4 linked regions of the Rhinolophus ferrumequinum genome follow. The protein of the gene in region 1 binds, or shares a complex with, the protein of each later gene. Links are inferred from orthologs where the notes say so. Each region holds a gene or a part of one and is shown in the gene's direction. Other genes may lie near its edges.

What was found.
Region 2: SMC5 (region 1) and NSMCE4A share a complex: the UniProt entries of both Homo sapiens proteins name them as parts of the SMC5-SMC6 complex. The link is inferred for Rhinolophus ferrumequinum from reciprocal best matches to the Homo sapiens genes SMC5 and NSMCE4A.
Region 3: SMC5 (region 1) and EID3 share a complex: the UniProt entries of both Homo sapiens proteins name them as parts of the SMC5-SMC6 complex. The link is inferred for Rhinolophus ferrumequinum from reciprocal best matches to the Homo sapiens genes SMC5 and EID3.
Region 4: SMC5 (region 1) and NSMCE1 share a complex: the UniProt entries of both Homo sapiens proteins name them as parts of the SMC5-SMC6 complex. The link is inferred for Rhinolophus ferrumequinum from reciprocal best matches to the Homo sapiens genes SMC5 and NSMCE1.

The regions. Positions count from the first base shown.
Region 1 is NC_046295.1:36,824,445-36,831,930, forward strand, and holds the start of SMC5 (structural maintenance of chromosomes protein 5), read left to right. Parts: upstream 1-4,466; 5' UTR 4,467-4,571; coding exon 4,572-4,744; intron 4,745-7,486. UniProt on the Homo sapiens protein: Core component of the SMC5-SMC6 complex, a complex involved in repair of DNA double-strand breaks by homologous recombination.
Region 2 is NC_046299.1:8,115,730-8,123,571, forward strand, and holds the start of NSMCE4A (non-structural maintenance of chromosomes element 4 homolog A), read left to right. Parts: upstream 1-4,833; 5' UTR 4,834-4,879; coding exon 4,880-5,171; intron 5,172-5,879; coding exon 5,880-5,957; intron 5,958-7,842. UniProt on the Homo sapiens protein: Component of the SMC5-SMC6 complex, a complex involved in DNA double-strand breaks by homologous recombination. The complex may promote sister chromatid homologous recombination by recruiting the SMC1-SMC3 cohesin complex to double-strand breaks.
Region 3 is NC_046293.1:15,688,255-15,695,235, reverse strand, and holds EID3 (EP300-interacting inhibitor of differentiation 3), read left to right. Parts: upstream 1-4,420; 5' UTR 4,421-4,510; coding exon 4,511-5,638; 3' UTR 5,639-6,469; downstream 6,470-6,981. UniProt on the Homo sapiens protein: Tissue-specific component of the SMC5-SMC6 complex, a complex involved in repair of DNA double-strand breaks by homologous recombination.
Region 4 is NW_022680357.1:19,109,145-19,116,914, reverse strand, and holds the start of NSMCE1 (non-structural maintenance of chromosomes element 1 homolog), read left to right. Parts: upstream 1-4,766; 5' UTR 4,767-4,879; intron 4,880-7,770. UniProt on the Homo sapiens protein: RING-type zinc finger-containing E3 ubiquitin ligase that assembles with melanoma antigen protein (MAGE) to catalyze the direct transfer of ubiquitin from E2 ubiquitin-conjugating enzyme to a specific substrate.

The DNA.
Region 1 (7,486 bases):
AGTTAAAATGCATGTAAAATATAAAAATGGGCTTAAAGGACATTACATTACACACTGAACGAGTATCTAGGAGTAGTTAACTAGGGGATAAGGAGTGCAGGATCAAGATTAAGAAAAAGAATGTCAACTGCACACTAATTTTATCTGCATTGTTCTCATTTTTAAGAGGAGAATATATTCATATATTCCCTGTGTAATTTTTTTAAAAGTTGATTAAAGAAAAAATACTGGACGAAATCATGCCAAATAGTTAACGGTGTTAATTCTTGAATGCACAAATATGGATGTACGGTTGTTAGTTTCTGCTGTGTGCTTTTTGAATGACAAACTTCCTAAAATAATAAAAAAACAAGTACAGTTTTAATTATAAAAAGAATTTTATGGCTACTAATCAAACCTGTGGAAGTGAGAATTTAAAACCAACAAGTTTATGGGAGAGTTCAACAGCACCCCAGCCTGTGGAAATGCTGAGATGAAACGTCACTCTTGGTGACTGATATCAAAGGACTCATTTTATAATTCATGCAGCTAATTTGAACAGATTCTCCACAGTTTGAACAATTACCAACTTTCTTTCCTTTGGGAAGTAACAAGGTGTGAGGGGAAATGCTTGCTATTCCCCCAGATGCTCCAGACCTAGCCTGGGCAAGGACTGTCAATTCATTTTGCAAGGACTTGCAGAGAAGATGACACATAATGCTTTAGCACCTTGTTCTTGATCTTTCTGAAATTAAAGGTAAATTCCTTCTGGAGCAATTTATACTGTTTTCCCATTTTATATTCTCAAAAGAAATGAAGGCCTATTTAACTCTAGGCTTTCTATCAAGACACATCACAAAGAACACTTAAACCCTGATACTGGTTCCTAATGATTTTATCTTTCAGTTGGTTTTTGTATCCAAGAGATGGAAATTTGGGAAAGAGGCAAATCTGTTGAGACTTTGATCCAGAATAGAAAATGCATTATAAGAAAGTACTTAGAACAGTAGCTTGTCTATGGGAAATGCTGTTGGTGTTAGCTATTACTAATATTACTACAGTAAGAACCACATATTTTGATTGTTTTTATGATGTTTGAAACAACTTAAAAACTTAAAAACTTTAGAGACTAGGTATCCTTATGTTTAGCAGAAGCTTGCTGTATGGGGTTGTGTTCCCCTGAGGAAGGGTGCTGATTCTCCCCAGAATCCCTCATCCTTGCCTAGATATTCCCCCATGAGGTCTTTAATTAGGTCTGTTAGAAAGAGTGTATGATGGGAAGTTTGGGGGAGCAGGGAACAGGGGTTGTTCCTGAGTGCCAAGGTCTTAGGTTTTAGTATCTGCTCCTTCCCTCTCTTTCAAGCCATGAGGGTTCACTTTTCCACTTTATGAACTGGCCCAAAAGTAGTATTTCCTCTCACTTGGTATATAAGCCAGAGGAAATTATTCTTGTTAACCTGGGAGGGTTCTTCTTAGAACTGGAGTAGTGAACTGTCTCAGTCCGAGATGGTCTCAGCAGCGTCCCATTCCATGCATCTTGCCCCAGCTTCTTGCTACTGTGGCACCATTATCAAGGACTTGATGTGAAGCCAGGAAAGAGAACACAGAAGATGGTGTTTTGATGGTGAAGTGAAATACATTTATAATCCTTGACCCCGCCCCTTTCTGCCAGTTTTTGTTTGCATCAGTTTTAAAGTTTCGGTAGAATGGAAGGCCTTCATACAAAATGGCCCCTGGTCACTTACTCCTCGGTCGGTAGAAAGTTAAATATAATTGCCTTGTTAGATCTATTAGCTAGTAAAGATGGGGTGATGAATTCAGCTTATGACTGGAATTTAAACCCTGAGAAGTGTAGGATTAGCTACAATGGCTCACTCACTCATTGACACATTCTGGTTAATTGATAATCTTTCTAAAGAACTTCTCCCTCTGCATCTTTAACACCACCCTTTGCAAGACAGTTTTCGCCAGTGGAATTAAAGAATCCACATGTGGCAAGATAAATGTGTATATTTTCACAGGTGCATAAAATTTTTAAAGAATGTTAGGAAGCAGTGAGCTTCTATAGTCTCCCGAGTATCCTGGGTTCATGTTAACTTCCAGTCATATAAAGTCCGAGAAAGAAGAAGTACTTAAATCAGTTACAGTACATCTGTTTAATGGAATACTACATAGCTACTTAAAACTATGTCACAGAAAAAATGTTTAATGCCATGGAAGGATATTCATAATATATGCAGTGAGAAAATGGGATAAAATAATAGTATGTATAATACAATTTGTGCAGTATCATCCTGATTTTTTTTAATGAAAGGAGCGTACCGTACACATACTAGTATAAAGACATCAAAAGATACACCAAAATCTTAACAGTGATTAGGCTGGGTAGAGGAATTATGAGTGATTTTTCCCTTTGCATATGTGTGTTTTCTGTGTTCCCCAAATTTCTGTGTTTAATAACATGTATTACTTTTGCAATAAGAAGCAAAACCAGTAACATTTTCCTTTTTAGAGGATGGTGGCAGATCATGACTGGATGGCTGTTTAGACAAGAACTCATAGTGTATGTATATTTGTGGGGTCATCACAAGTTCAGGGGCTCATTCTCAACATTCACGTTTATAAGCACAATTTAATTCACTAAAAAACTGGTGATGGTACAAAAATAATCAGACTGGTTCCCTGCCCTCAACTCCCATTACCACGGCCTATATTAATTGCCATTGGGATAGATTCCCCCAAAAGCAGTTATTTCTTCAAAGAATTAGACTTTTCTAAGGTTCTTGAAGCAGGGTCCCAAGTTACTTTATTTTTTTTTTATTTATTTCAGTGTGTTTTCCCAGGACCCATCAGCTCCAAGTCAAGCAGTTGTCTCAATCTAGTTGTGGAGGGCGCAGCCCACAGTGGCCCATGTTGGGAATCAACCTGCAATCTTGTTGTTAAGAGCACTGCGCTCTAACCAACTGAGCTAACCGGCCGCCTCCGAAGTTACTTTTTAAAAAAATGTGTACTAGCAAGATAGGGAAGGGCAGTATAGTGCCTTCCTAAACACTGAGTATTTTTCTTATTTCCTGGCATTTGAACAGTTTTAAAATTATTCTTATTGTAATTTGCTTTTCTAAAAATGTCTAGTAACCTTGACAAGTTCACACGCTTTTTAACTCGTTCTATTTTCTTTGGTTATAACTTTTAGAGAGCGGGGGTTCCATTTGCATGAAAGGAAGAAGCAGGGACCTGGGAAAGGAGCACTGGTCCAGGAGTCAGAAATCAGGGTTCTACTGCATTAGCTTCCTAACTGGCTTCCCCACTTCCCCTTCTCACCCCTCCAAACAGCAACCAGAGTGGTCATTTTAACTTTAGCTAGATCATGTCCCTCTCCTGCTTAAACCCATCCAATGGCTTCCCATTGCTTTGAAAATTCAGCTGTGCTATGATGGCCAAGGCTCTGCTCTGCAACCTTGTTTACTCCACTGCAGCCACGCCGGCCTTTGTTCCTCCAACATCTTTGTGCTGGCCTGTAATTGCTCTTTGCTTATTTACGCATTTGGCTCCCACTCCATCAGGGTTTAGCTCAAACGTCAACCTCCTTTGGCAGGTCTTCCGTGCCTCCCCCATCCCATGTCATTGTTTTGGGTTGTTTTTCATAGCACCGATCATAGCCAGAAATGATCGTGATCGTCAGTTGGTTCGCTTGTTCTTTTTGTCTCCCACACCAGAACGTAAGCTCGCAAACACGCAACTTTGGCTCCTTTACTGCCGGCAGCCCCAGCCTCTTGTAGGTTAGGCATTAATTATTATAGTTGAGTGAATGAAGATCTCACTGCACGTCATCTTTAATGCACTTACTAGATGTTTACTGGATGAATGTGAGCAGGGTTAAGAGACAGTACGCTTTAAGTGAAGCCAGGGCATTCTAGCTCGGGGAATTAGGGAGTGAGAGGTGGAAAGTACAGAAGGGGGAGTGCGGTGTAATCTTTTCACAAGTTATAGAGCGCAGGAGACCTAGCATAATGCTTTAAGGGAGCCATTTGGAAGAGTTTTCTTTCATTTTTTTAACACGGGGACCTGATTGAAAGCAAACAGGAAGCAAACTAGAACACGAAGAGCCAAAGACCTGCGAGTCCCGGTGCACTCGGGCAGGCAGGCACTCAGGCGGAACGCGCACAAGGCTGGTCGCACGTGCCCGCCTTGGTGTCCCCGACCCTGGGTCCCAGGTGCCACCGCAAACGCCTCTCTCCCCTCGAGTATCCGCTTCCTTGGAGCGCTAAAAGAGCTTTCAAAATCCTAACTGTAATTGACATCTTTCTTTAAGTTGGAAAAAAAAAAAACCCTGAAAAAATGCAAGAAGGTACAGAGAAAGGGCCGAGACCAGCATCCCGCTAGTCCCCACCCCCAGCCACCTGCGTTCTCGTTCGCGCAGGCGTTCCAGGCCCAGGGCGGGGCTTGCCCGCTGACGCCATCTGGCCGTGACTGCGCAGGCGCGGGACGGCTCTCGGGCGGCATCCCGCGCCTGGCAGATCGCGCGGGAGCGGGACGTGGGGGCTGCAGGTTGGTGGGAACGGAAGCCGCTACGGGGCGGAGGGGAAGCCAGGATGGCGACTCCGAGTGGGAAGACCTCAACTCCAACCCCCCTGGCCTCCAAGAGAGCTGCCCCGAGAGATCCCTCGTCGGAGGTCCCGAGCAAGAGAAAGAGTTCTGCGCCCCCACTGCCGGCCGGGCCTTTCGTGGAAGGCTCCATCGTCCGCATCGCGATGGAGAACTTCCTGTGAGTGGCGGGAGGCCGTGCGGCGGCGGGGGCGGGGAGCGGGCCCGAGGGGTGCACGCTGCGTACGTGTGGGTGGGTGGGTGGATGTGTCCCTGGCTTGTGGGTCTGGCGGTGAATTTGCGTCGTGGTTACCGTGAGGATTTTTATTCGTAGGCTGTGTAGATTGACGTTTGTGTTGGTGTGCTAGGTGTGTGTCTTGTGGATGCGGGTTGTTGTTTTATTAATTTTTTATTCTACCAACGTGTGTTGAAGGCGTCATTTGGCGGGCAGTGGATATAGTAGGGATTAGATCTCTGCTCGTTGGAAATCACGACCTATAGAGGGAGGACATAACTTGTAATTCTCAAAACTATGGGCCCTGGGGATACACAAGAAAGAAGCAACAGAGTGACACTGATGATGTGGCAGATTCATAAAGAGTAGGAAGTTGCCATGGATAAATGGTGAATGTTCTGCGGGATAGAGGTTGAAATGTACAAGAAAATTAATACTCTCATTAGTGGGCCTCCCAACGGACTCTTGACACCTACAAATCCATCTTTCTTTCCTGGTCTCTTCTCTCTCCTTTCAGACAATAATCATAATAATCATTTTAGGATTTAGTAATATGTTTCAATAAAAAAATACCGTGTTATTATAGCACCTTACAGTTAGTTCATTTGGTCGAGGATTTTTTTTTTTTTTAAGCTTGCACATAGTGGTGTAGGAGAAACAGAATTGCAAGAACAACATCACCATTTTTTTCAAGCACCTGTCATGTGCCAGGTATAGAAATAGGTGCTTTATTTATACAGTGCTTTCATTCTTTGCTAATAACAACTCTTTGTATTATTTCCATTGATGAGATAAACTCAGCGAGATTAATTTGCCCACATTTACACAGCTAATAGGTACCTGAATTACTATTTGAATCCAGATCAGGAAAGATCATCACATAAGTTCCTTATCGTAATAGTGTATGTATCAGGATGCCATGGGGACACAAAGGAAGAAGTTAATATCTTCCACAACTGAGAGAGAGGGTTTTGTACGGAGGTTCTGAAAGTACTAAAAGAAGGGAAGTGCACTGTGGACAGAAGGACCTGCCTGCGAGTTTATCTTTAGGAAGCATCGAGTATTTTAGTAGGCGGGAACGCAGGCTGTGAGTGAATATGTGGACGTAAGTGATACTGAAGAGGTAGGCAACTGTTGAGGCTCTCAGTTTACTATGCTAAGGAATTCCAGCCTCATTCCCTAAGGAACCAGTATGCGTATTAAGTAGGGAATGGCATGTGATTCGTATTGCTCTGGGAACAGTGTGAATGAAAGATGCTTCAGAAAGGGTGCAAGGTTGGAGGCAAGATTTTTACAGTATGAAGGCAAGCGATAACCAGGGTTTGAACCTATGAGTAGCAGATGGTGAGTAGGAGCGGAAAGAAAAGAGATTTGACAGGATCTGGCTACAAATTAATTGTGAAGCATGAGGGTAAGAGGAATGCAGCAATGGCTAATTGGTCAGGTATGGTGCTAGTCTGAAGAGGATCAGTTTGCAGAGAATGATAATAAATGCGTTTTGCATCCTGTGACTTGAAATTTTCTGTGGGACATTTAAAAGAGACCTTCCATAGGCAGTATTTATAAATGTCTGGAGCTTACAGGAAAATGTGAACAGGTGAGAGATTTGGGAGCATGTATATAGGTGATTGTTGAAGTTGCAAAAATGTTTGAGATTGCCCAAGAGGAAATATAACTAGGAGGAATAGAAGGCCAAGTACAGAGTCCTGGAGAATGCCAACATTTAAGGTTAGACAGAAGGGGAATTCACTGACTGAGAAGGACCTATTCAGGGAGGTAAGAGGAGAACTGTAGGAGAGTATTATCAAAGAAGCCAAGGAAAAGAGCTTTTCTAAAATACCTACTACATTTCAATGTAGTAGATACAGGACTTGAAAAGGGCCCCCTGCATCTAGCAGTTAGAACATCTTCGACCCTTTGAGAAAGCAGTGGAAGAAGAAAACTTTGTAAGTCCTGAAAGAAGGAATGTGTGTGAGGAAGTAAATCTAGATGTGAAGAGGGGAACAAGAGTGGCTGGAAAGTGCAGAGCTCGGGGAGGTTTTGTTTATTTTCACATGAAGAGGACTTTTGAGTTTTAGGAAAGAAGTAAGGGGTAGGCTTAGGCAACCAAAATGGCCTGAAAGAGAATGGTCAAAGGAAGGATTCCTATGAGAGAACCAAGACAAATGGGGTTGGGAGTGGAGGGAGAGATTTCTAGGCAGAAGGAACAGGATGCGCAAAGACTTGGAGAAAGAACGAAGCCTAAAATAGTCAAGAAACTAAAAGAAATTCTTTATATACTTAGAGTACCTTGAGTAGAGGTCTGATTAGCGAATAGGGGAAGGAGATAGAAAGTAGACAAAGGTGAAGCTAGAGCTAAGTTATAAAGGATACTGTTTTTTTTTTTTTGTTTTTTTGTGTTTTTTTTAGCATGTGGCATCAGATTTGCATGTCTACCAACATGATTTGGTGATTGGATGATGTGTATGTGTGTGTGTGTGGGGGTGTTTTGGGTAGAAGTAAAGGAGATGGTAGAATCAAAGATGATTCAAAACTAATGCTTAGGTTTCTGATATGGGCAGTGGGATGAGTGATGCTATGAGACTACCAGAGTGGTTTTGGAAGGAAAGATGGTAGGTTTCGTTTTCAATGTGTGACGTTTGAGGTGACGGTTACGGGACATCAGATAAGGTTATTGAAGTGGTAACT
Region 2 (7,842 bases), on another chromosome or scaffold:
CTTGGGCACCCTGACCCAGAGGCCTCAACGATAAAGGTAGGCATGTCCCAGTCCTGGGCTGTTTCCTCTCAAAATCTTTGGGATCAGTGTCTAGACTCCAAGTAAAGGCTTGGGAAAAAAGAGAAGCCTCTAGATCTAGGAAGTTCTATCCCCCAGAAGGTTGCATGGCTGACGCCCTCTCATTATTCAGTTCTTCACTGAAATGTCAGCTTTTCAGAGAGGGCGTCCTTGACCACCCCCGGCTAAAGTTAGCCCCCCACTGCATAATAATTCCTTACCACAATACGCTTTTTAATTTCTTCATATCACCACCTTCTGAAATTACTTGTCTATTCCTTGTTTATTGTCTCCTTCCCTGATAAGATTGCAGCCTGGTGTCTGCCTGTGACAGCAGGGATCTTGGATATCTGCTCACTCTGGTGAGCCTGGCATCTAATGGGCACATGATGCCTGCCTTCCAGCTGAAGAGTCTGTGGAACAGACCTGCTGATATTCAGCCCTATGCCGCCGGCCACCTCTGAGCTGAACTGCAGCTTGTCCACGTCAGCAGCTGCCCACCTGGAGTTCCTGACATTTTCCCTTCTTGCCACTTTAGCTTCCTTTTATGTTCCTGCAGAAAATTTCTTTGTTTTCAGAGCCCAGCTGGGTATATACAAGTTGTGGTATATGTAGGAGCTGGTTGTTTTGCAGCAGGGGACTCCTCAGAGTGTCTAATCTGACATATTTGTGATTATTTTTCATCTTTGAATGAAGCAGGTCCTGAACACGGAGCGTCAGGCTTCGGGCTCTAATGCTCCAGCTGCCCAGTCCTCTGCTCTCGTCCGCACCTGTGCCCTGCCTGTGCTCGCATCCTGTGCTCCGTCCCATCTCAGCTGGATGATCTTGACTCTGCCATCTAGGTCAAAATTCTTGCCTAGTTCCTAGTCCTTTCTGTCCTAGCCCTTAACACAGCGGCCATTGTATAGAAATCTTTGTTTTCATTTGCTTCATGTCTGAGTCTCTCCCCAAACGAGTGCAGGACTTTGTTGTCTTTAGTGTCTCCAGGATCTAGCATGTGGCTCAGCACATAATAGGCACTCAATGATCATGTATCACTAGTAAATGAAGGACCCAGACAAGAGGCAGCTTTTCATCACAGATTCACTAGTACAGCAGCAACTAGCAGACAAGTAGGGTGCTGGAAGTTTTTACTAACTTCCAATTTCTCCTGGGAGCCTGACAGATGAAAAGCCATGAGATCTCCGAAGAGACATATTGAATATTGAATTACACCAAGGGACGTGTTTATGACACTAGCCGCAATAAATGCATTGCTGATGCTCTAATGCAGATTTGCCCGGACACACACGGCCCACAAATCCAGAATTCCTAGCCCCAAATCAGATCTGACCAGAAGGATCCCACCTGTAGTTGGCTGTTTTCCCTAGAAGCGATGTTGCCAGAACTACTATACACTTTGTTTCTCACCTGAGAATTTACATGTTTTCCCATTTGATTTGCAAGAGAGCTGGTCACCAGCTGCAGCCTGGCAGCGATTCCGTGACACCAGGGGACCCATTCTCTCCAACCCTGCCCTATCTCAAACTCTTCTCCTGTGTCTCTCCTCTCTGCCGGGTGTTCATTTAGTCCTGGTTACCAGATATCCCCCCTTCGGGTTACTCCTCACTTTGCAGTTTCTCATTGTCATGTCATTTTAATTAGGAGGGTAATCCAGAGGCGTCAGCTCCTGGGAAAGGAGCCTACACAGTCAGCTCCTTTCACCACTCTGTTCTCTGCTTCATCATCTGCAACACTCTTGGTTTCTGATTAATATTCCATGCTAATCAGTCTTTCTCGTCATGGGCATAGTTCCTACTTTCTGGATCCATCTGGCTGCACAAGTTGAGATTCTTTTTTTTTTTTTTTTTTTGGTACTAGAAAATTTAAGCATGAAATAAATGCATTATTTGTTTTTCTACAAACAACAGAACATGTGATGAAAAGTGGTTGAAGCAATGACATTGATTACTGCCCCTGACAAGGGCTGGCTTAGCAGCTTGGTTATGTCATCAAAGACTTGGGCTCTTGCTGCCGTGGAATGCTAATTTCTTCATTTGTCCTCACATGGTCACAAGATGGCTGCCACATTTTGAGTAACCCATGTGGACATGACAATATTGGATTAAAAAGGAGCATTTTCTCTTGGTGTCTATTTTTATAGTGGAGAAAACATTTCTTAGAAGGCCTTCAATAGACTTGTCCTTCATCCTGTGGTCACAATCAGGCCACATTCCCTGCCACAGACACAAAGGAAAGAGGAGAGGAAGGAGAGTATGTGGCGTGGGTTTTTTGGGTCTCTATGATGGAAAGTGGACTCTGACGGTAAAGAAGAAAGGATGGGGAAACAGAGAAACAAAAAATATGTTTCCCAGCCTCCCTCGCAGTTAGGTTGGGGCTCTGTGACCAGCTCTGGCCAATAGGCTAGGAGCAGCAGTGACATGTGCCACTTCTAGGTTGAGGCCATTAGGCCAATGCACCAATCCTGGACTGCTTACTTCTAGACTTCCAGTTTCACAAGAAATGTTGTCACTATTTTGGCTAAGGCACTGTAGTGGGGTTGCTATTATACCTTGCTGAATAGACCCGGATATACCCTTTACCCACCATGTTGGTTGTCCTGCATTTGTCTCAATACCCACCTCAAATCCATTTCAATGTTTCCTGGCCCAGCTCTGCCCAGAGACTGATATATAAACTGCATCACACAGGTTCTCCTTGTCCTCCAGTGTCCTGCAGGCCTCAGCTAATAGGAGGTAAAAGAAGGGGAGAAGATGTCGGGAGAGAGAGACCAGGGTATTTTAGCCTGCACTTTCTCTTTTCCTGGCATGGCTGCATCCCCTCTCGGATCACAGCTCTTGTCGGGTGGCCCTTCTCCATGACTTCAGCCCTCATGGGATTCTGGTAACACTGCTTCTTCCCTCTGACTGTTCAGGTCCAGGAGTAGTAATGTCTTCCCACTGTTGCTCATCCTGGGTACCTGTATTAGTTTCCTATGATTGCTATAAAAAATTACCACAAACTTGTTCTCTAATTTATGTATTTTTCCTTTGGTTACTTGTGCTTTTGGTGTCATATCTAAGAAACCATCGCCTCATCAAAGTCACAGAGATTTACACCTATGTTTTCTTCTAAGAGTTTCACCTTTAGGTCTGATCCATTTTGAGTTAATTTTTGTATATAGTGTAAGAGAGGGGTCCAACTTCATTCTTTTTCATCTCAATATCCAATTGCCCACCACCATGTGTTGCAAAGACTATTCTTTCCTCATTGAATTGTCTTGAAAATCAATTGACCATAGAGGTATGGGTTTATCTCCGAACTTTAAATTCTATCCCATTGATCTATATGTCTGTCCTTTTGCTAAGGAAGAGGCAGTAGTATCACACAGTCTTAATTACAATAGCTCTGTAGTACGTTTTGAAATTGAGAAGTGTGGGCCCTGCCAGCTTTGTCCTTTTCCAAGATTGTTTTGGCTATTCTGGGTCCCTTGCATTTCCATGTAAATTTTAGGATCAGTTTCGTGTTTGTCCCCCGGTAAGAACCTGGAAGTCTCTGAGCCATCTTTGTGACCTACTACGCTTGGTAGGCTGTCTGGCCCATTAGCACATACCAAGACGTGTTGAATTGAAGGACATGCTCCAGGTCTGTTTGGCTGGAGCTTGAAACAGCTTCCACCGAGAAGAATGCTTAATATTTGTTTCAATTTGAATGCATTGAGCTGCAAGTACCGACTACAGAGGAATTAATGGTAGCGTAAAGCACAGGCTATTTATGGCTTGCTTAACAAGGACTTGGGAGGTAGGCAGTTCACTCAGCAATTCAGCCATGGCCGTCTTTCTCTCCACTGTTTTCAGCATTTTGGTTTTTCCTCACACTTGTCACCTCATGAGTACCAGAAGGCTGCATCATGCCATGTGCCATGTCTTTATGATAACACCTCAAAGAAGGAGTGGGGGTGGGGACAGAGACATTCTTTTCTAGAGGCTTATGTTTCATCCAGCTAGAAAGCCCCATCGCACTTCACTGACCAGAACTGGACCACACGGCCATCGCTAGCCCAGTCACTCGGGAACGGGGATGAGATTACCACGACTCATTTAGGCCAATCCCTCTTCCTCTAAGGCAGCAGGCACCAGAGCGTAATTTTCCTGAAATCCAGGGAAGTAGGGGCGGGGCAAGGTATCTGCTGTTGAGCAGCAGAGAATAGTATACATTCTATATATACATTTTGTACAGAGAATAGTACAAAAATGGCATTTTTGTAGCCTTGTGTAGTAACTCAACTTAAAATATTGTTTCTTTGAGAAAAATGTGTTCTCAGCACCAAAGAGAATTTAGGGACCCTTTCTTGAATCCTTTCGAAGGTATTTTAAATATTTTAGCTTGAGATCCAATTATGAACATAAACTGTCCTGGTTCAGACAGTTAGAAGGGAAGGTTAAATGGTGTTTAATATGCGCTGCGTGCCCAGGACGTTGCCAGCCTGTGGCTGTGTGCCGGGCCGCCAGAGACTCTGGGGAGCTAAGGCCCAGTGCGGTGGGTACGGGGTACCCACAACCGAGATTCTCACCACTTTACAGCGTAAGTGGGATCTTAGTACATCGGAGGTCAGGGAGCGGAAGGCTCCGGTCGGGGACCCGGGCACCCCTGGCGCCGCGGGGAGGCGCTCTCAGCCTGCGCCCGCGCCTGGCCCCGCCGCCGGCCTCCCGCCACAGGCGTCGCTGTGCGCTCGCGCCGGCCCGGAGTCGCGTTCCGTGGAGACAGGCGCTCGCGCCGAGCAGGGGTTTCAGTTTCTGGCGCGAACTTCCGCCGTTCCGAAGTTACACCGGGAATTGGCGCGATGTCCGGAGACAGCAGCGGCCGCCGGCCCGAGGGCCGGGGCCGGGGCCGGGGCCGCGACCCGCACCGGGATCGCACCCGCTCCCGCTCGCGGTCCCCGCTGTCGCCCGTGTCCCGCCGCGGCGCCGCGCCCGAGCGCAGGGAGGCCGCGGAGCGCCCGAGCTTGGAGGAGGAAGAGCCGTCGGATTCCGGGGACGAGATGGTGGACCCGGCGAGCTTGGAGGAGGAACCCGACCACGGCCTGTGCCGCCAGATCCGCCATCAGTACCGGGCGCTCATCAACTCGGTCCAACGTAAGGCGGGGCGCGGGGCGGGTGGGGCAGGTGCCAGACGCAGGCCCTGCGCGGCCCGGCTGCTCAGCGGCGCCCCGGGCTCGGCCGCGCCTCGGTGGGTGCCCTGAGTGCGCCCACATCCGTGGTGTCGATCGGGCTGCACGACGTTTGCAGGGGCGCTCAGGTCCCCGCTGGGCAGGACGGCACCTCTGGAGGCCAGGCGCGGTCGGTGACTTCCCCGAGCCCAGACGGCGAGGAAGGAGGAGAGGTGGGACGTGGAGCCTAGGCTCCCCTCTTGCTTTCTGCAGTTCCCGGGAGTGGTCGCCCGCCTAGGAGCGGCACCCGAGAACTGTCAGAAATGCAAATGCAATCTGAAACCGGGCGTGGCCCGCCCATCTCTTGTGTGGCTCTCCAGGGGCTGGTGTGGCTTGCAAAGTTTGAGAACCATTCTGTTAGGAGCGCTCCTTAAAGGCTTCAAGGAGTCAGCCCTTTGGGTGAAGGTGAGGTGGAGCCGGTCTCCTTTTAAAGTTCATGTTGCTTAAAGGGTACAGACCACCTTTCTCTTCTGTACCTTTTTGGTTGAAAAGATAAAGATGTTTGAAGTAATTGCCGTGGGGCGGGGCTTGGATATGGAGCTGGTGATCACTTTGTCAATGACTTGTTACTGAACGATGAGTACATTTCCCAAAGCTCGTATTTTGTAAAATAGCTTGTGTTTGTTTAAAATAGAAAACCGGGAGGATATACTGAATGCCAGCGACAAATTAACAGAGGTCCTTGAAGAGGCCAACACTCTGTTTAATGAAGGTAATTCATTATTTTATATACGGAAGTTTGTTGTTAGACGTTTAGGATCATTTTAATTAGTTTTATATAAGAGCCAAATTTTTGACATCAAACAATTCCCACATTTATAATAATAGTGCTTTACTAGTTTTTGGAAACCGCTTCATTGTTGCAATACTAAATGTCACTTTTATGGTGCACTTACCATTCCTTAAGCGAATACTAAGGGCTTTTTTATGTGAAATTCTGGTGGTGGGGCCAGCAATCTGTTTTTATGAGCCACTCAGGTTGTTCTGTTGTTTGAGAACTTTACATGTATTATCTTTGATCTTTCTGTTGTATTTACTGCTGTGTTCCCAGGATACATACATGCATTTGTTGAATGGATGAGTTAAAGAAAGAACTGAGCTGACCCCTGACTTCCAGTTGCTTTTCCTGCCGTCCTCCCGATCTCCCTTCCCTCAGCTCCTTGCTGTTGTTGGTCCACTTACAACCCAGTGGGGGTGGCCATGTCTACAGGTGGACCTGTTGGTCTCCAGTCAGGGGGGTATGTGCATGACAGAGAGAGAGAAATCTCAGAGCACTGAGCTATAGACCATGGGGTAAGGGGGCTTTAAAAAAGAATCATGACTTTGTTAAAAGCAGCAGCAGTGATGGTAGCAGCAGTCTGTTCAGTGACAGAGGACAGGTCAGGGTACTCCCTGATGTAGGGCCTGGGTCACAGCCCTAGGACAAGTGGTCAGACCGCTTTCCTTCCAGGCCCCCTTCTGACAGTTCCGTGGGAACAGAAAGGGAGAATTTGGACAAGTGCAGCGGTAAAGAAGAGTCAACAGAACTTGCACTGCCGGATACCACAATTCCTCTTGTTCTCTGAAGACCAGAACAGTTATTTCTGGTCATTCGCCAGTATGGTTAATACTGTTCCCTTTTAACATTTTTCTGTCTATACGCACTTAGATTTTTGTCTTTCTTACTCTGACCGCACCTCCTTACCATTCCCCATCTTGGTCTACCGATTGGCTCCATCTCACCCAGACCTTCCAGAACCAGCCTTTCCTTTTTACCTGGTCAAATCCCTCCTCTACCCTCTTTAGCCTTTTCTTTCCCAAGCCTGGACCCCCAGTGAGTCTCCTCAAGGTTACCCTCAACTCTTTCATTCCCTTGATACTTTACTGTGCATCTTGATAGTTCTTGATCTACATACCATTTCCCCACACGGCTATTTCCACTGTACTGACTGTATTACCTCTTTATGGCAAAATGATCGACTCAGCTGGGCCCGAGGAGTTGGTCAGCAAACAGAGTTCTAGATCCTCGGTGTACGTGGATTTGATGGTCTCAGTTTTATCTGTGTAGAGGCCTTCAGAGCCATCCACGGCAGAGCTCTTTCCTTACAGTACGTGCTGTGAGGCAAATGGGCGAGGGGGATCTAGAACAGCCCGGGAACCGGCGTCTGCCTGTGCTTCATGCTCTCAACTCCTTGCCACTTCTGCACTCTCCTGAAATAAAACTGAGGGGGGGAAGGTGACTTCTAAACACAGACACAGGAGTCAGCACGGTCAGCAGCCTGAGGATTGTTCTGGAAATCAGTGATCTAATGGAATGGCCTCAAGGAACACGCCCGGCATAGGCATTTCTGTGCTTGAACTTTGCTGTGTTCATCTCTGCTTGCCTTCCTCTTCAGTTTGCCTTTGCACGTGTCCCAGAGCACTTTTTCACACTCCGTTTCCTAAGGGGTCTGATTACCCTGTCTCTGTTAAGCCCGGCTGTGTCCTCCAGTGGACCCTTCCCTCACCTCCCCAAGCTTCATCCTCAGGTTTCCTTCTTGTCTCCTTTTATTTAAATCTCTTCTCGCTGTAGCTTAGCTTAAATCTCATGTCCTCTGTCAAACCTTTTTGGATCGTCC
Region 3 (6,981 bases), on another chromosome or scaffold:
TATACAATAGCCGCCTTTTACAAATGAGGAAAATAAGTGGAAACTAATAAAGCCCTGCTTTTGATTGGGGAATCCAGGCCTCCAGAGCTGAGTTCCTTCCCAGCTGCCCCTTTAAAACCACATCCCAGTGCTTTCCGACCCCTGGTCTGTCAAAATGATGCTCTTGGTCATTGCTGATTTCTGAGGTGTCCCAAGAGAGTTGATAATTGCTCTTATAACCTGAAGCGTTCTGTTCTCATCTCACACCCTTGTTTACAATAGTTCTTGAGGCTTGGCAAGTCCTCATCACTGGGTTTTCTGAAGTGACAGTTAAGTCTATGACTTGACCACGGGCAAGGGTGGAGGTTTTATATACTCTGAAATATTTCAGTGACTGGCTCCAAATTGTTTTGTGGGACTTGATTGCCATTTTATCTTTTATTTCACTAACAATAAAGCAATCTTATTTGAATAGAATAGTTATTCAGAGCCTCTTTTGGACACTGGGTTTTTAAAGAATCTGCTGAACTCCAAGGACCCATTCCTGAGAAAAATGTGCACATGTAGTTTTGCATATAGTCGCAGATTTTTTGGTGGGCTTGCTTCAGAATATCTAGTTGAGAGTTTTATTCTTCAAAGTAACTATACACACTTTCATTAGTTGAAGCTTTAGGTTTTAAAATTTTCTTACACGGCAAATTTCTTTTCACTGTGATTTGTTAAGTGAGATACATTCTTGTATTACTCCTTATGGATTTAACCTTTAAAATATTTTTCTGTTCCTGAAACATCCAAGAGTGAAGCTACTGGTTTGTACATAGGTGTTTCTGTTTGGTGTCTAATGTTTATGAACCATTTGCTATCTTTGGGATAATTTAAGATTTATTAAGTACCTACTCAACAGCTGAAAATATTGTCAAATCTATCACATAATTCTCATTCAATATTTACAGTAACTTTATGATATAAGTAGTAGTATTCCCATCTTACAAAGGAAGAAGCTGGAGGCTAAGAGGTTAAGCAACTTGCCTAAGATAACTCTAATAGCTAGCAAGTCAAGATTGGAACCAGGTTTGCCTCCATTGGCCATGGTCTTTTCAGACACTCATTTGAAAAACACAGATACCTGCCTTAATCACAGCAAAGTTTACCTTTAATACTAAAAAACCAAAACCAAACAAAGCAAAAATGTACACGCACAAATATAACGTTAAAGGAAATTAAGATGAAAAAGAAAATATACCTAACGTCCTGCTACTTTGATAAATCAAACTAGGACTTTTACAACATCTCTTCACGACTAAATATTAAATAGATACCTTGGAAGGATGAGGAGAGAAAAACTGATATGAAAGAAGGCATAAAGAAGTTGAGGAGGTAGCTTAACAGCAATAAGTCTGTTAGAGTGTGGGGATCCTACCTGACTTGTTCCTGGTTTGGCTCAGAAGTCTTTTAAGAGATTAAACATCTTCTTGTTGTAGATTAATCCTGCAATAAAAATCCCACTAGAAAAGATAGTGGACTCTATGTGAGTCCTTTTTTTATTTGGCTTAAGAGAGAGACCTGTGATCTGTGACATCCATCCCATCACATTTGGCTTGAGCACTGGGAGTTGTGGGAAAGAGCTTAAGAATGCTTGGAATGAATGAATCTGAACTCCTGGCAAAGGACTGATAAATAATACTGGAAGAAAAACTGAGGAAAGGAAGAACGGAAATGGAGAGCCTTATTTAGCCTTTGGCAACATCCCCTGAAAGAGAACAAAGTAGTGGAGAGGAGCTAAATTATGTTGGAGGCCAAGCTGTGTGCCATTGGTTGTCTGAAGTCGTCTTACTGCATGAAGAAGGTAGATGTTAGTGATTTCTTTGAAGTAGTAGTGCACTTTTGCTTTCTGTTAAAAGTCATAGAGCAGTTTACCAGTATAACTGAAATTGTGTGTTGTAGTTCCTTTTTTAAGCTGCATTTATATAATTATTACTAGTAATTTGACCGTAGGTTAGAAAGCCACTGTTTAGTGATTTAAAGATGCACAAGTGTAGAAATCCCATTCTTTAAATGATGAAGGAAAATCATTAGACTTGAGATTTTATTTTGAGATGACATATGAACCTTATGCTCTAAAGGCAGATTTAAGAATGTGGGATATGCAAGTCTGGTTTCTGAGGATGACAGAAGTTACATGTTACGAAGATTCTTAAGAACAGGGATCTAGTATAGAGTGAACTCAGCACAGAAACGACAACTTAATAATATGCTTGTCTTGATATGTTCTGTTGCTTCAAGCAAGTTGTGTGGGCTGTTATCTCCTGAGAAATCCCTATAAATAGTATTAGTAATACTTTATAAGTAGGTGAGGAGAATTATTTTTCTGAAGCGTTTCGAAATTCTTAGATGAAAGGCTCTGTATGGAGCAAATTGGTATCAGCCTGTTCTCCCTCTTCTGATGCAGGAGAAAATAGGCACCTTAGGGTGGGAAGGTTGGCTTATCTTTTGGAGTTCTTTTATAAATTGCTTTTGTTGAATTTGAAGTGGATATCAGAAGCTCCTAAGGATACAGTTAACTATAAAAGCAAACTCTTTGGGATTTGGGATTAGGGATTAACTCTCTTCCTCTTAGATTTAAAACAGGTTTAAATATTAGTTTGTAATTGGGCAGACTTAGGGGGAAAATGTGGTCCTTTGATGATCCTGGATCCCAACTTTGTTTTTTTCTTACTTTTTCTGTATTTCAGAGAAGGGATAAGGTTGACTTTCTGAAAAGGAGTCAACTTTTATTTTCATTTTGAGAATCTCTTAAACTAACCTGAAATTTTTTGCTGCCAAATAACTTGTAGGAGGTGTTGGGACAAAGTTTAAAAAAAAAAACTACATTCATTTACAACGTATGCATTTAAATGTGCATAGTCAAATGCATCCATGTGAAAACAGCTTTGCTTAGAAGATTTAAACCAAGTTTTTGCTTTAGAGAAGCTAACAGTCTAATGGCAGGATAATAGGTATATATGCACAAGTAACCATAGCGCATGGTGTTTTTGAAAAATGCATGTTTCTTCCTGAATTACCCCTACTTAAAGAAATAATGGTGCACAATAGTAATGTAAATATTTTGGAATAACTTAATAACAGGTTTTGCTGTTTATGCATTTGCAAGAAACTTTCTATTAATGTCAAAGAAAAATGAACCAGTCTAGATGCATAGGAAGGAAGGTAGGGCTAATTTACTTCCGTGTGCCTTGAAACCAGAGCTGACAGGTCAAGTGTGGTGTGTTCTCTCTCCCTCTCTCTCTCCCTCTCTCTCTCTTCCCCTCCCCCTCTGCCCCTCGCCCCCTCTCCCATCCCCCCTCCCCTCTCCCCCTTTCCCACTTTCCCTCTCTCGGACTCTCCTTTAAAAGGAACACCTGTTGCAGTGGTTAAAAACTGGTCTTGCGGGTTGAGAATGCATATTCTCTTTAAAAATGAAATATATTCTGTTCCAGTGTTACCTGTACTTTGCTGCCTGTGTGACTGCTAAGCTAAGCTCTCTCTCTCCAACTGTACAAGAATTCCCAGTCAACTAGTAGGTGAAGTTTCCAGTATAGATTAGTCACCTGATTTACAGCATTTGCTTTCATAGCTTTATCACAGATTGTGTTTAAAATCTTCATTGCTTTGCTTACCTTTTAGGGTTCAGATTTACTATCCATTCAGTCTGTGGTCTTTAGCCTTTGGCAAGCTTCCAAATAAACAGCTCTTTTGTAGAGATTGTACCTGTTTTATTTGTTCACCCTTGGGTGGTGAACCAAAGATCGCTTGAGTAATACGTTCCTTCCCCACCTTCAAGCTTGCTCTAGCAGTGACACACACGAGTGATGCCCTCCACTCCATGGGGTAGGTTGGAGGGGATTGGGCTTTTGAGGGCCCGGGAAGGTAATTGACGCAATTTACATTTGTATAATGAAGAATTGAGTTCCAAACAACCATCTACTAGTAAATGAACTCTTAGAGTTGGTGGCCTATTTGTAATGGGAGTTCTGCATGTCACGATCCTTGGTCCTACTGGTAGTTTATAATCTAGCCAGATTTAGTTCTCAAAAATAAAAGACCCCACTTCTTAATCACTAAGAATAAAAAACGAAGGTCGACTTAACTGCAGTATGTGACAGCAAGTTTTAAAGCACAGGACCTTTAGTTTCCTCACAATTTTGTCATAGATTGCCCAAGTGTTTCTTCGAAAGCTAGATGATACTGTCAGTTAACGCTAAAACAATTAGCTATCGCTTAAACGGGTGTATGAGTGTGGGCTTCGGACCGATTATTGCGTGCGTCCTGTGCGCCACGGGCTTGTTTGCGAACGTGTTGCACAAGACCTGGGCTCCGCAAGGTGGGGCTGTCAGGAGGCGGGGCGAGCTGGGGGCGGGGCCTCCCGGCGGTGTCACCAGTGCGCATGGGCGAACAGGTTCCTCCGCTCTGACTGACCCCTTCAATTTCCGCCGCTGTCCGAAACCGTTGCGAAGGCCGTTAGCTGAGCGCTCCCGGAGCTTACTGACTGACAATGTCTGACGAAAAAGATTCCCTGCGGGGAGGCATAGAGGAGGGAGAGGAGCGGGTGGTGAACATCACCAGTAGTGCGTACTCCGTGAAGCAGGCGGAGGAGGAGGCAGATCCCATGAAGGTGGAAGTGGCGGTGGGGGCTGATGGCTGCTCTGAAGGCTGTTCTGACGACCTCAGCTGTGGAGAGGCCGACATAGATCCAAATCTCCTGGGGCTTGAGGCTGACGAGGAGAAGTGCCGGAGTATCCGCAAGCAGTACCGGCAGCTCATCTACAACGTCCAACAGAACCGTGAAGACATAGTGAACACAGCGAGCGACTCGTTGAGCGAGGCTCTTGAAGAAGCCAATGTCCTGTTTGATGAAGTGAGCCGAACAAGAGAAGCGGCTCTCGATGCCCAGTTTCTTGTTCTGGCTTCTGATTTGGGTAAAGAAAAAGCCAAGCAGCTGAACTGTGATATGCGCTTTTTTAATCAAGTAGCATTTTGTGACTTTCTCTGTATATTTGTGGGACTAAACTTGATGGAAGATAATGGACGTAATGCGTTGAGTGGTTGTGATGATAATATAGCTCTTTCCTTCTGGGAGACAATACAGAAGGAAGCAACATCCTGGATATTGCAAGCTGGAACATTCCACTTTATTTTTGGTTCATTCAAATCAGAGTCTTCTGCCCGAAAGCCCCGACGTGAGCACCAGAAAAAAACTCACAGAATGGAAGATAATAGGGATATGCCTGTAAAACTGAGGAAGTTGGACTTGAGTAATAATCAAGAAGCGACAGAAAAAGAAGTAGAAAGAATCCTGGGATTGTTGCAAACGTACTTTCGAAAGTATCCTGATACTCCTGTGTCCTATTTTGAGTTTGTGATTGATCCAAATTCTTTTTCTCGTACCGTGGAGAATATATTTTATGTTTCTTTCATTATAAGGGATGGTTTCGCAAGAATAAGGCTTGACCAAGACAGGCTGCCAATATTAGAGCCAATTAATATTAACCAAGTGAGTGAGGGAAATGATCCCAGTTCCTATGGCAGGAAACAAGGGGTTATATCTTTGAGTTTACAGGACTGGAGAAATATTGTGGCGACTTTTGAAATTTCAGAGGCTATGATCACAAATTCATACTAAATATTTTTGTTCCTAGTATAGGATGCATTTTGTGGCTTTTCTAAAAGTGTGTCAAAATGCAGAGTTAAATCCAAACAAAAGCACATATTGTTACCTCTTGTAAAGTGAAAAAGTATTTTCAAGAACATCAAATTGTTTACTGTGCAGTGTGATTTTCTTGGTAGTTTATAAGATAGTCAAGACCTTCTGTTATTAAAAAAAATTTACTGGCATGTTCATGGGAAAATTTTTTGAATGTCCTTTGAGACTATTAATAAAAATCATTTCTGAATTTCGTAAGTTAAAAGGTATTTGATAATTTGCAAAAAAAAAAAAATTTAGTTATGATGCCCTGTGATACTGTGTTCCTCTGTTACAGGGAACCAAGGGAGTCCCATATGGGGCTCCTAACCAGGTTGGGGAAAGAGTGGGTGAAAAAAATGGTAAAAAACATCCATAGGGCAGTGAATATGCAACATTAATACTATAAAAAAAAAATTAAGATGCCTTGCTTCATTGCAGAGAGGGCTCAGGTCAATGAGTGGGTATCCATATTCTAAAAAATTTCTCCTGTGATTAAACTCAACAAAAGTCGAGTTATCTCTACTCTAGTAGACAAAGCATCAACTAAGTGCTGAAAAGTCATTAGGAACTGGTCAAATACAGGAATGGTATTCTAGGCAGGGGATATGGAGGCCAAATATATGGGATTGTGAGAAATTATGGCACCAGAGAACCATAAAAGGTTTTGAAAACTATTCCATTTGAATGTTAAGCGGGGCAAAAATTGAATTACTTTGTCTGTCATTCTCCTCAGAGATAGAAGATATTTTTGTCAGATTACTTCAAACACAAAAATCGTTTAACAACCAGTTATAGTCTTGATATACTTGGTTAATTTCTTTTCTGGCCCCTACTTTCCCTTTGTAACTTCTGCTAGTACACAGAGTGTCCTTCAGAATCAGTGATGTTTTATTATGTAACAGCCTTGAATATTTGTTTCCAGTTCAATTTGGCATTTCTTAATAAGGCTTTAAATGCCTGGAAACTGTCCCTGATTAAACTGAAATACAGGATTAACTTATCCCAAAGTTCTTTACTTCGGATAAAACCATAAATGCTTTTTTTTATTACTTGCAATTGTTTTAAAAATACATATTATAGACTTATTTGGTGGTTATTGCCAAAAATTGGGTCTTTAAGGAAACAGTTTTTGAAGGTGCAGTGAGTATGCCTATAAGCTTCTTTTCTTGATCTCTATAGGAATTTAATCTTCGGTGGTAGTGGATTTTGCCATTAAACATTATTTGGCAAGTGGATAAGTATTTTGCATAGTAGTAATGATAAACTTTCCAACTAAGCCT
Region 4 (7,770 bases), on another chromosome or scaffold:
GCATGGGGAATTCACATACGTGTAAAAATTCCAAAGGCAGCGAGTTCAGATCGGGTGCTTTGCAGGTAATTTAGGAAGAGTGGCACACTCTCGGGAGGTAAATTGTTGTCAGGCTACCCAGAAAATAATGGGACATGGGGGAAGGGTGGTCAGCAGGCTCCCTGGGCGTCTTCCCGCCTTATGCTAAGGAGTTTATGCCAAGGTTCCCTCCCTAAACCTGCTCTTTCCATCTGAATCTCTTAGGCAGAAAAGAGGGAGGGTCAAAGGTTCTAAATGAGTCTTTTGTTTCCTAAGAACCAGTTTAAAGTCAATTTGCCCCAGGGCAAAACTTCTGGTCCTCTTCATTCCCACCTTTGAAACTGTAATAAAAGTTTCACGTCCAGAAGGTAAATTGGTAGATTGTTACATATTTCATTGAGCTAATCACTCAGTCCTGAGAATAACTTAGTTTAGTTAAATTGTCGAATCTTATTTCAGGACCCAGTGATGTAGATACACTCCCAAATTTCACCTTTTATTAAATATCTGATTACTTGCTTATGTGGGGAAGACTTTCCTCTACCCCCAGGCTTCTGACTGCTGTAATAATCAAATAAACATGAAACAGATTATCAAGAGGAAACGAGCAGATTTAATACATACATATGGGAACCCTGCACACAGGAGAGTCAGGGACCCCACATGTAGGAGACGTAGGGAGATAGAAAAGGAACAGGGGTAGGTAAGACATCCCGAGCTAGGGATGAAGTGAGGTCTCTTGGGGGCTCGAAAGGGTCTCTGCAGGGTGACGACAAGAGCATGAGGATGGAAAAGGGGCCACAGGTGAAACCTGACAAGCTCAGGAGACTGAAAATAACCACGTATAGGACGGCGTGAACATACAAATTCCTAACTCAGGTGGGCCATGGCGGGAAGTCACATCCTTGGCCTGCAGCTTCCTAGACAAAGGTCAGTCTTTACCTTAAGTGAGCCTGTCAACTGTCTTTTTGCATCAAAAATAACACACCCTTTGGAATGTCAGTAATGCCTCCCTCCCCCCACCACCAGAGCAGGAAGCTGTAGAACCCCTCATTATTATTCTTCTCTGGATTCCCATCTCTATGTGCTGTGAAAAGTGCTATTAACTATCCTGTACCCACCTATGTGAAAGAAGTACCTGTCTCTCCAATTTACTTTAATCACAGAGATTTCCCTGCTTTGCTTTCTCCCACCCCATTAATCTACCACCAATGGATTTCATGTAACCCTCCTCCTTTGATTCTGTGTATAAAATAACTGCAAACCACCATTTTGTGAAGCATTTTCTCAGTCCGTTGAGATTTTGCTTCCCAGCAATTGGCATCGGTTTGGCACAGATAGACTCTTTATAGGCTTTCTCTTAGGCTGAATGTTTTTCCATGGACAAGCATGTTTCATGAATATCTTGAACCTAGTCAGACAAAGACAGATGTTCAGAGACTGAAGGAGAAGGTCAGACAGGGACAGAAATAGACAAACAATGTGGGGTGTGGGGTGCTGAGCTGCTACCAGCCCACGGTCGCTGACTGTGTGTGGGGGCTATGTGTTTGGAATCTCTCGAGGTGTCCTTGGCTGACTCGGCACTGTTTTCCCAGGTCTTCCATATATGCCTTCCATATATGCGCCCCTCCCCCCAAGACTGAAGTTCCCACACCAGGCCATCACTCTGGACCTGAGAGTGGTCCCAGCATTGGACAAGACCCCTTATGCCAGTAAAAAACTGAGGGACTGTACCCCAACCTACCGGACAGGTACAGCTACCACAGCTGTGCAGGGGGAAGCCTGTTCCAGCAAAGCTGCGCCAGGAGCCAGGTGTTCAGCTCCCCCTGCAAATGCTGTCCCCTGTCACACAGCACGTAGGCCCAGGCTCTGGAAAAGCACAGCCACACTGCCTGTTAGGAAGACTGAGCAGTGGACCCTGCTGCCAGCACTGTGTATCCTTCTCATGCCAGTGCCTGACTCTGCCCGCACTATACACAGGAATGGCTTTTATCTTGGCCTTTGGGGCCTGTCAGCATCCCTCTAGGCTGAGGGCGGAGTGGAAGGGTCACTTCCCCTCTCTGCTCCACCAATCCACACCCATTGCCACCACTGGATCAAGCTTAAAACGCAGTAAATCCAAAATTTATGTGAGTATGTGGTTTCCATAATCAACTTGATTTTCTCTTGTTTCTCATTTGTTACTCATTTCTGCTTTTGCTTTATTATTATTTCTTTCCCTCCATTTTCTTTGGGTTTATTTATTTTTCTACCTCTTAAATGGAACACAAATTTTGTTTTCTTGTTTTGTAATAAGTACACCAGAGGCTATAATCCCCCTTCTAATTACTGTTTTAGTTAGAGCACACAGAATTTATTATGTAAGGCTCTTATTGTCATTCATTTCTAAATATTTTGTGATTTCCATATACATTTTTTAAATCCACATGTATTTTTCAGTTTACAAATGCACGTTTTTTTCTTTTAAAAATGTGTCATAAAAGCTATCTACATACAAAAAGTATAAAAATATAATGAACTTCCAACCGAAGACATGAAATTCAAATGTATGCTTATAATTTTTAATTTTATTTTTCATAAGTCATAGATATACATGATAAAAAGACAAACTAGCCTGTCTTCTTGGCCCCTCCTACTGTTACTAATTTAAGGTATACTCTATTGAATTGTATGGGTTTCTTTTTGGCTCTCTTTTTGTTATTGATTTTTAATTTTCCTTTATTGTGGGTTGTGAATGTGACCTATTGAATCTGGATTTCAATGAGGCTTCCTTTGTGGTAGTCAATTTCTGTAAATGTTCCAAGTATGTTTGAAAAGAACAGATATGCAAATATTTTTTTTTGTAATGCAAACTTGGTCTCCTCAATTCCTCTCTGAGCTTCTGTGGTTCTCAGGTAAAAGACAGCCCCTTAGCCTGTGATTTGGCCCCACACTTTCTCTCTAGCCAAGGCCTAGGCAACCTCCATATGTACAACAAATTTATGTCCGTGTAGCTCTTGTATCTTTTAGGGCCAACTTTCAGAAGGACATTTGAAGTGTTACAGTCTTGTAGCAAACAGTCCAATTCGTGGCACATCCAAGTTTCCTAATAGAATCTCACAGAACCACCTGGAGAGTGGGCAGTCTTCTGAGGGTGGTCATGCTGAGGTTGGACAGTCGCCCTGTGATGGGTCACTCCCTCATTGCCAATTCCAGTCCTTACCCACTACTTGCTCCTGTCCAACACTACCACTTCACCGAGATCTCAGGCTGCTGCGCCCCTCCAGGCTGACTTCCCAGCACTTACTTACTGCCCATGAAATTCTTCATCAGTGGCATATCTTTCTTGACCTCTCCAGAGCACTGGCAAACCTGACCACACCCTGTTTCTCAAAACTCTCTACCTGTTTGCCTCTGACACCACAGTCTTGAATCCTGTCTTCTCTTTCTACCTCCTCCTTGGCCCTTTCATCCTGAAATGCCAGTGTTCCCAGCATTTTGTGTTCATGGTCCTCGGGGTTTTTTTTCCCCCTCTATACTCCAGGAAAACACGGTGCATTACAAAGGGACAGTTTCTACCAAGCTCTGAACAAGTGTGGCCTGTTGTCCCATTGCCCAATTTTACAAGAGCGGACAGACACCCCAGGGTTTTCTGTGAAATCCCTCAACTTTAAATGTTGATAATGAATTGAAAAGTGTACACAACTGTGCAGGGCAAACAAAACATGGCAGCCCAGTCCTTCTTAGGGCTGTTCTTCTCTTATTCGACTGACCCTAAGGCAATTTGTAAAGTACTTTGTTCATACTGGAAGCTCACACTTACTGAGGGCTTACTATGTGCCAGACACTCTTCTAAGTGTTTGCATGTATTAATGTATTTAATCTTCATAACAAGCCCATCAAAACAATGGTATTATTATCCCTGCTTTACAGAAGAACGAACTGTGAGGGACTACTTTGTCCTGGGTCTCAAAGATTCTGAGTGTAAGAACCTGGATTCAAATCCAGCTTGGGCTCTGGAGCCCAAGCTTTCCCTGCTCAGCCGATGATCAAACTGAGGTCCAGGGCGGTTGAATTGTCCGAGGTCACAACAGAGTTAACTGGCCTGCGGGTGGGGTGGAGGTGGGTTGAGGCTGTGGTCACAGAGATACTTGCACTCCCCGCTGTTCTGTAATTAGCCACCCCTATTCCCTGCTGCACTGGGTCCTGGTTGGCAGACCAGGGACTGGAATACAAACGATGGTAACGTGCCCATCCACTTCCACCGATAACTTCATTTACTCCTCACAACACTCCCAGAGCAGGACAGTCGCTAACATTCAATATCAGCCCTTCATGCGTGTTGTCCTGTAAACCTCACAAGCACGCTGCTGCTACGTGGGGACTATTATCCCCGTTTGACAGGAGCAACTGAGGCTCAGCGCCTCTCTGTGATTTGTCCAAGATGAGGCATCTGGTAAGTTGCAGGGCCAGGATTCTGGTCAGGATATATGACAACAGAGCCCCCCATCCTTGACCACGAGGCCACACTGCCAGTTCTACAGGTGGGGAAATCGCGGCCATGAGGGTGGCGCACGCTGCACTCCTCCTCCTCCTTTTCCATAAAGTCCCCAGAGAGGCCAGGGAAGCGCCTAAAACTGGACTTGACAGATCGATCCTGCGGCACCACGGCAACGGCGCGGGAGGGGTAACGGGAAGTGCGTCATCGAGCGGGCGGGACGAACCTGCACGACCACCAATGGGAGCGTCGCGTGCTCCGCCCTGAGGGAGGAGCCGAGTCCGCTTTTTGCCAACGGCGCGGGCCCTGTGAGCAGCTCCTGGGCGCCTCCGAGGGTAACGGCGACTCGAGAACGCCGTCCGGAGCGGCGAGGGAGGCCGGAAGGTGGGGCTGAGGTCCGGGGCGGCCTGCGCATTGCGCCCAGTGCGGCGCTGAGGGCCCGGGGCCCCGGGGCTTCTCGTTTCCGGCTGGAGAAACTGAGGCCCAGAGGGGGCCGCGAGGGCCAATAGACCGGAAACGCGTCCCTCTCACAGGGACACTTTTAAACCGTGATATTAGATGAGAAGATAGTTCTTAGCATGATGTTAGGTGAAGAAAAGTACGAAATGTGTCTGAACTGAGTGCGTGCAGCCGGCCCGCGCCGACTGCTCGTCAGCCACTGGCGCCGCGCCCCGCGCCCGCGTTCTGTGCGCCGAGCGTCTCGCTGTGTCCGAGTCCACAGCCCCGACGTTAAAGCCCCGCGGCTGTCAGCGTTCAGAACCCCGCGTTTCGGGGTTTCCGGAGGAGGGTGGGGAGCCTGCGTTCTCCACAGGTTAGGCCCCACCGTCAGCGGCGTCTGGGGCAGCGTCTTGTAGTCAGTCACAACCGTAGTACCGCCGCTGAAGACACGCGGGTTTACACTAAAAGGGATAAAGAACGACCATAGATAGCCCCACCTTAGATCTGATCCAGTTTTCAAACTTAAAAGATTTGATGTTCAGACCTTTTTAGATTTGACAATTGCAGACTAGGAGCCGGGATCCTCATGTTATTATTTACTCCTATTTCTCGCTGGCGGGGGTGCCACACATCCTGAACTGCGCTTTTGTGTCGTCACCCTCTGTCTCCATCACTGTGTGTGTCCCCTTGTGCCCTCAGCCGGCTTCCTCGTGTGTAAAATGGAGTAAGGAATGGCTTTCTCATAAGGTTCTGGTGACGAGTAAAGGAGACTGTGCTGTAGCACATGGCACACGTGGATGGTTATGACTGACATCTGCTTATTCCACAAGCATTTCTGTTTGAAGGCCATTGGGAGGGCAGTGCGTGTCCGTGGTCAGCCTCCCCACTCAGTCCCTCTTCCGGGAGAACACTGAATCCTAGGACAGAACAAGCCTGTCTTTCACCCCCATTGCCCTCCCCTTTCCCCAAAGTACAGCATTGTATACCGTTCTTTACTTAGTTCTTCTTTAGTAACATTTTGGCTTAACATATTTACATAATTTTCTTCCCTTTTTAAGATATGTGACATATCTATAACAATGTAAGTTTGAAGAATGAAGATAAAACAAACATCCACCCACCATGTTAGAACATTTTCATGTCCTCACAGCCCCCGTTGAATCCTTTCTTCCCTCACCAAAGAGAACCACTGCGCTGAGTATTGTGTTCTTCGTTCTGTTGTTTTCTTTGTTGTTTTTACTGTTGATGTATCTCTGATGAATGCAGTGCATGGTTTGCTAGGTTTTGAGTTTTATATAAATGGGATCCTAACATATTTTGTGTGACTCGATTTTTGCATTTAACACCATGTATACATTAGATGCATCTGTGTCGCTGTGAGTAGCTCTACTTCATCTTCAGTGCTTTGAATTCCAAGGTCAGATTATACACACTTTATGGAGGCCGTTCAGTTGGTCTTCACTTATACTTTTTGCCAGTTTTTTTGCTCCCACATGGTGCTTTTATAAGCATATTTCCTGGGGCCAATGTGGGAAAGTTTCTGTAAGGTATGTACCTGATAGTGGATTTCGGAGGATATACAGATGAGCAGGTAAAATCAACTTGTCTGAAGTGCTTATAAGGGTTTACACTCTATGGGCAGTGGGTGAGTCTCAGCCTCGGCCATTTTAAGGATTTTGGCCTCTCTGGTGGTAGTGGAGACATTAGTCGGTGGTTTTAATACTCATTTGCCTGTTGACAGGTAGTTTGAGCATCTTTTCACATCTTTATTAGTTGTGCATTTTCTTTGTCAAATTTCTGTTGCTCATTTCTCTCACAGTTGTCTTCCCTTTGCTTTTTGTAGGAGCTCTTTATATATGTTCTGAATGTGAGTCTTTTGTGGCTTAAATGTGTTTCAGATACCTTCCAGTTTGTAGCGTGTCTTCTCTTTCTATTTTCCACTGTCTGGTGTTTTGGTGAACTCCGGTCTTTAATTTTAACAAGGTTGAAGATATCAGTATATTCCTTTATGGTTTGTACTTTTCTTATTTTTTTTTAAGAAACTCTTCCCTGTCTTTGAGTCATACAGTTATTATCATACGTTGTTGTCCAAAAGTTTCATAGCCTTTCCTTTCTTATGACCTTACTCCTTAAGAATAGAATTTCATGAGGTAAGGGTCTATTTTTTTTATTTTTCTCCCACATATGGATAATCAGTTGTTCTGCCAAGTTTTTTGAAAAGTCTGCTTTCGTTAGGAGTTCTATCTCTTCAACACGTCAAGTATCCATACATGTATGTGTTTCTGTTTCAGAGTTCTGTATTCTGTCCCATTGGTCTTATTTGTCCATTTCTATGCCATTATCACATTTTACTCATTACTCTATCTTTAAAATAAGTTGTGGTTCCTGGAAAAACAATTTCTCCTGCCTTTGTCTTCTCCAAGAAATGTCTTTGCCATTTTGCCTTTACATTTTCCATGTAAAATTTAGACTCATCTTGTCAGCTCACACACATACACATGAAGCCTGTTGGGAATTTGACTGGAATTGCATTGATTTGGTTGTATTGGATTAATTTGGATTTTAAAGTGATTGCTTTCAACATTTCATCCTTAAATATTACGTTTGCTGTAGGTTTTTGTAGATGCCATTTAGTAGATAAAGGAAGTAAGTTTCTAGTTCAAGAGTTTTTACTGTTAATAAATGTTGAATTTTATCAACTGTGAGATGATCATATTCCTTTTTTTCTTTATTCTGCTAATGTGGTGACTCACATTGATTGCTATAAGCTGCTTGTAATATCTTTCTGTAAATGTTAGTGTATGCAATTAGTTTCCCATTTGCATTCCCAAGTATTG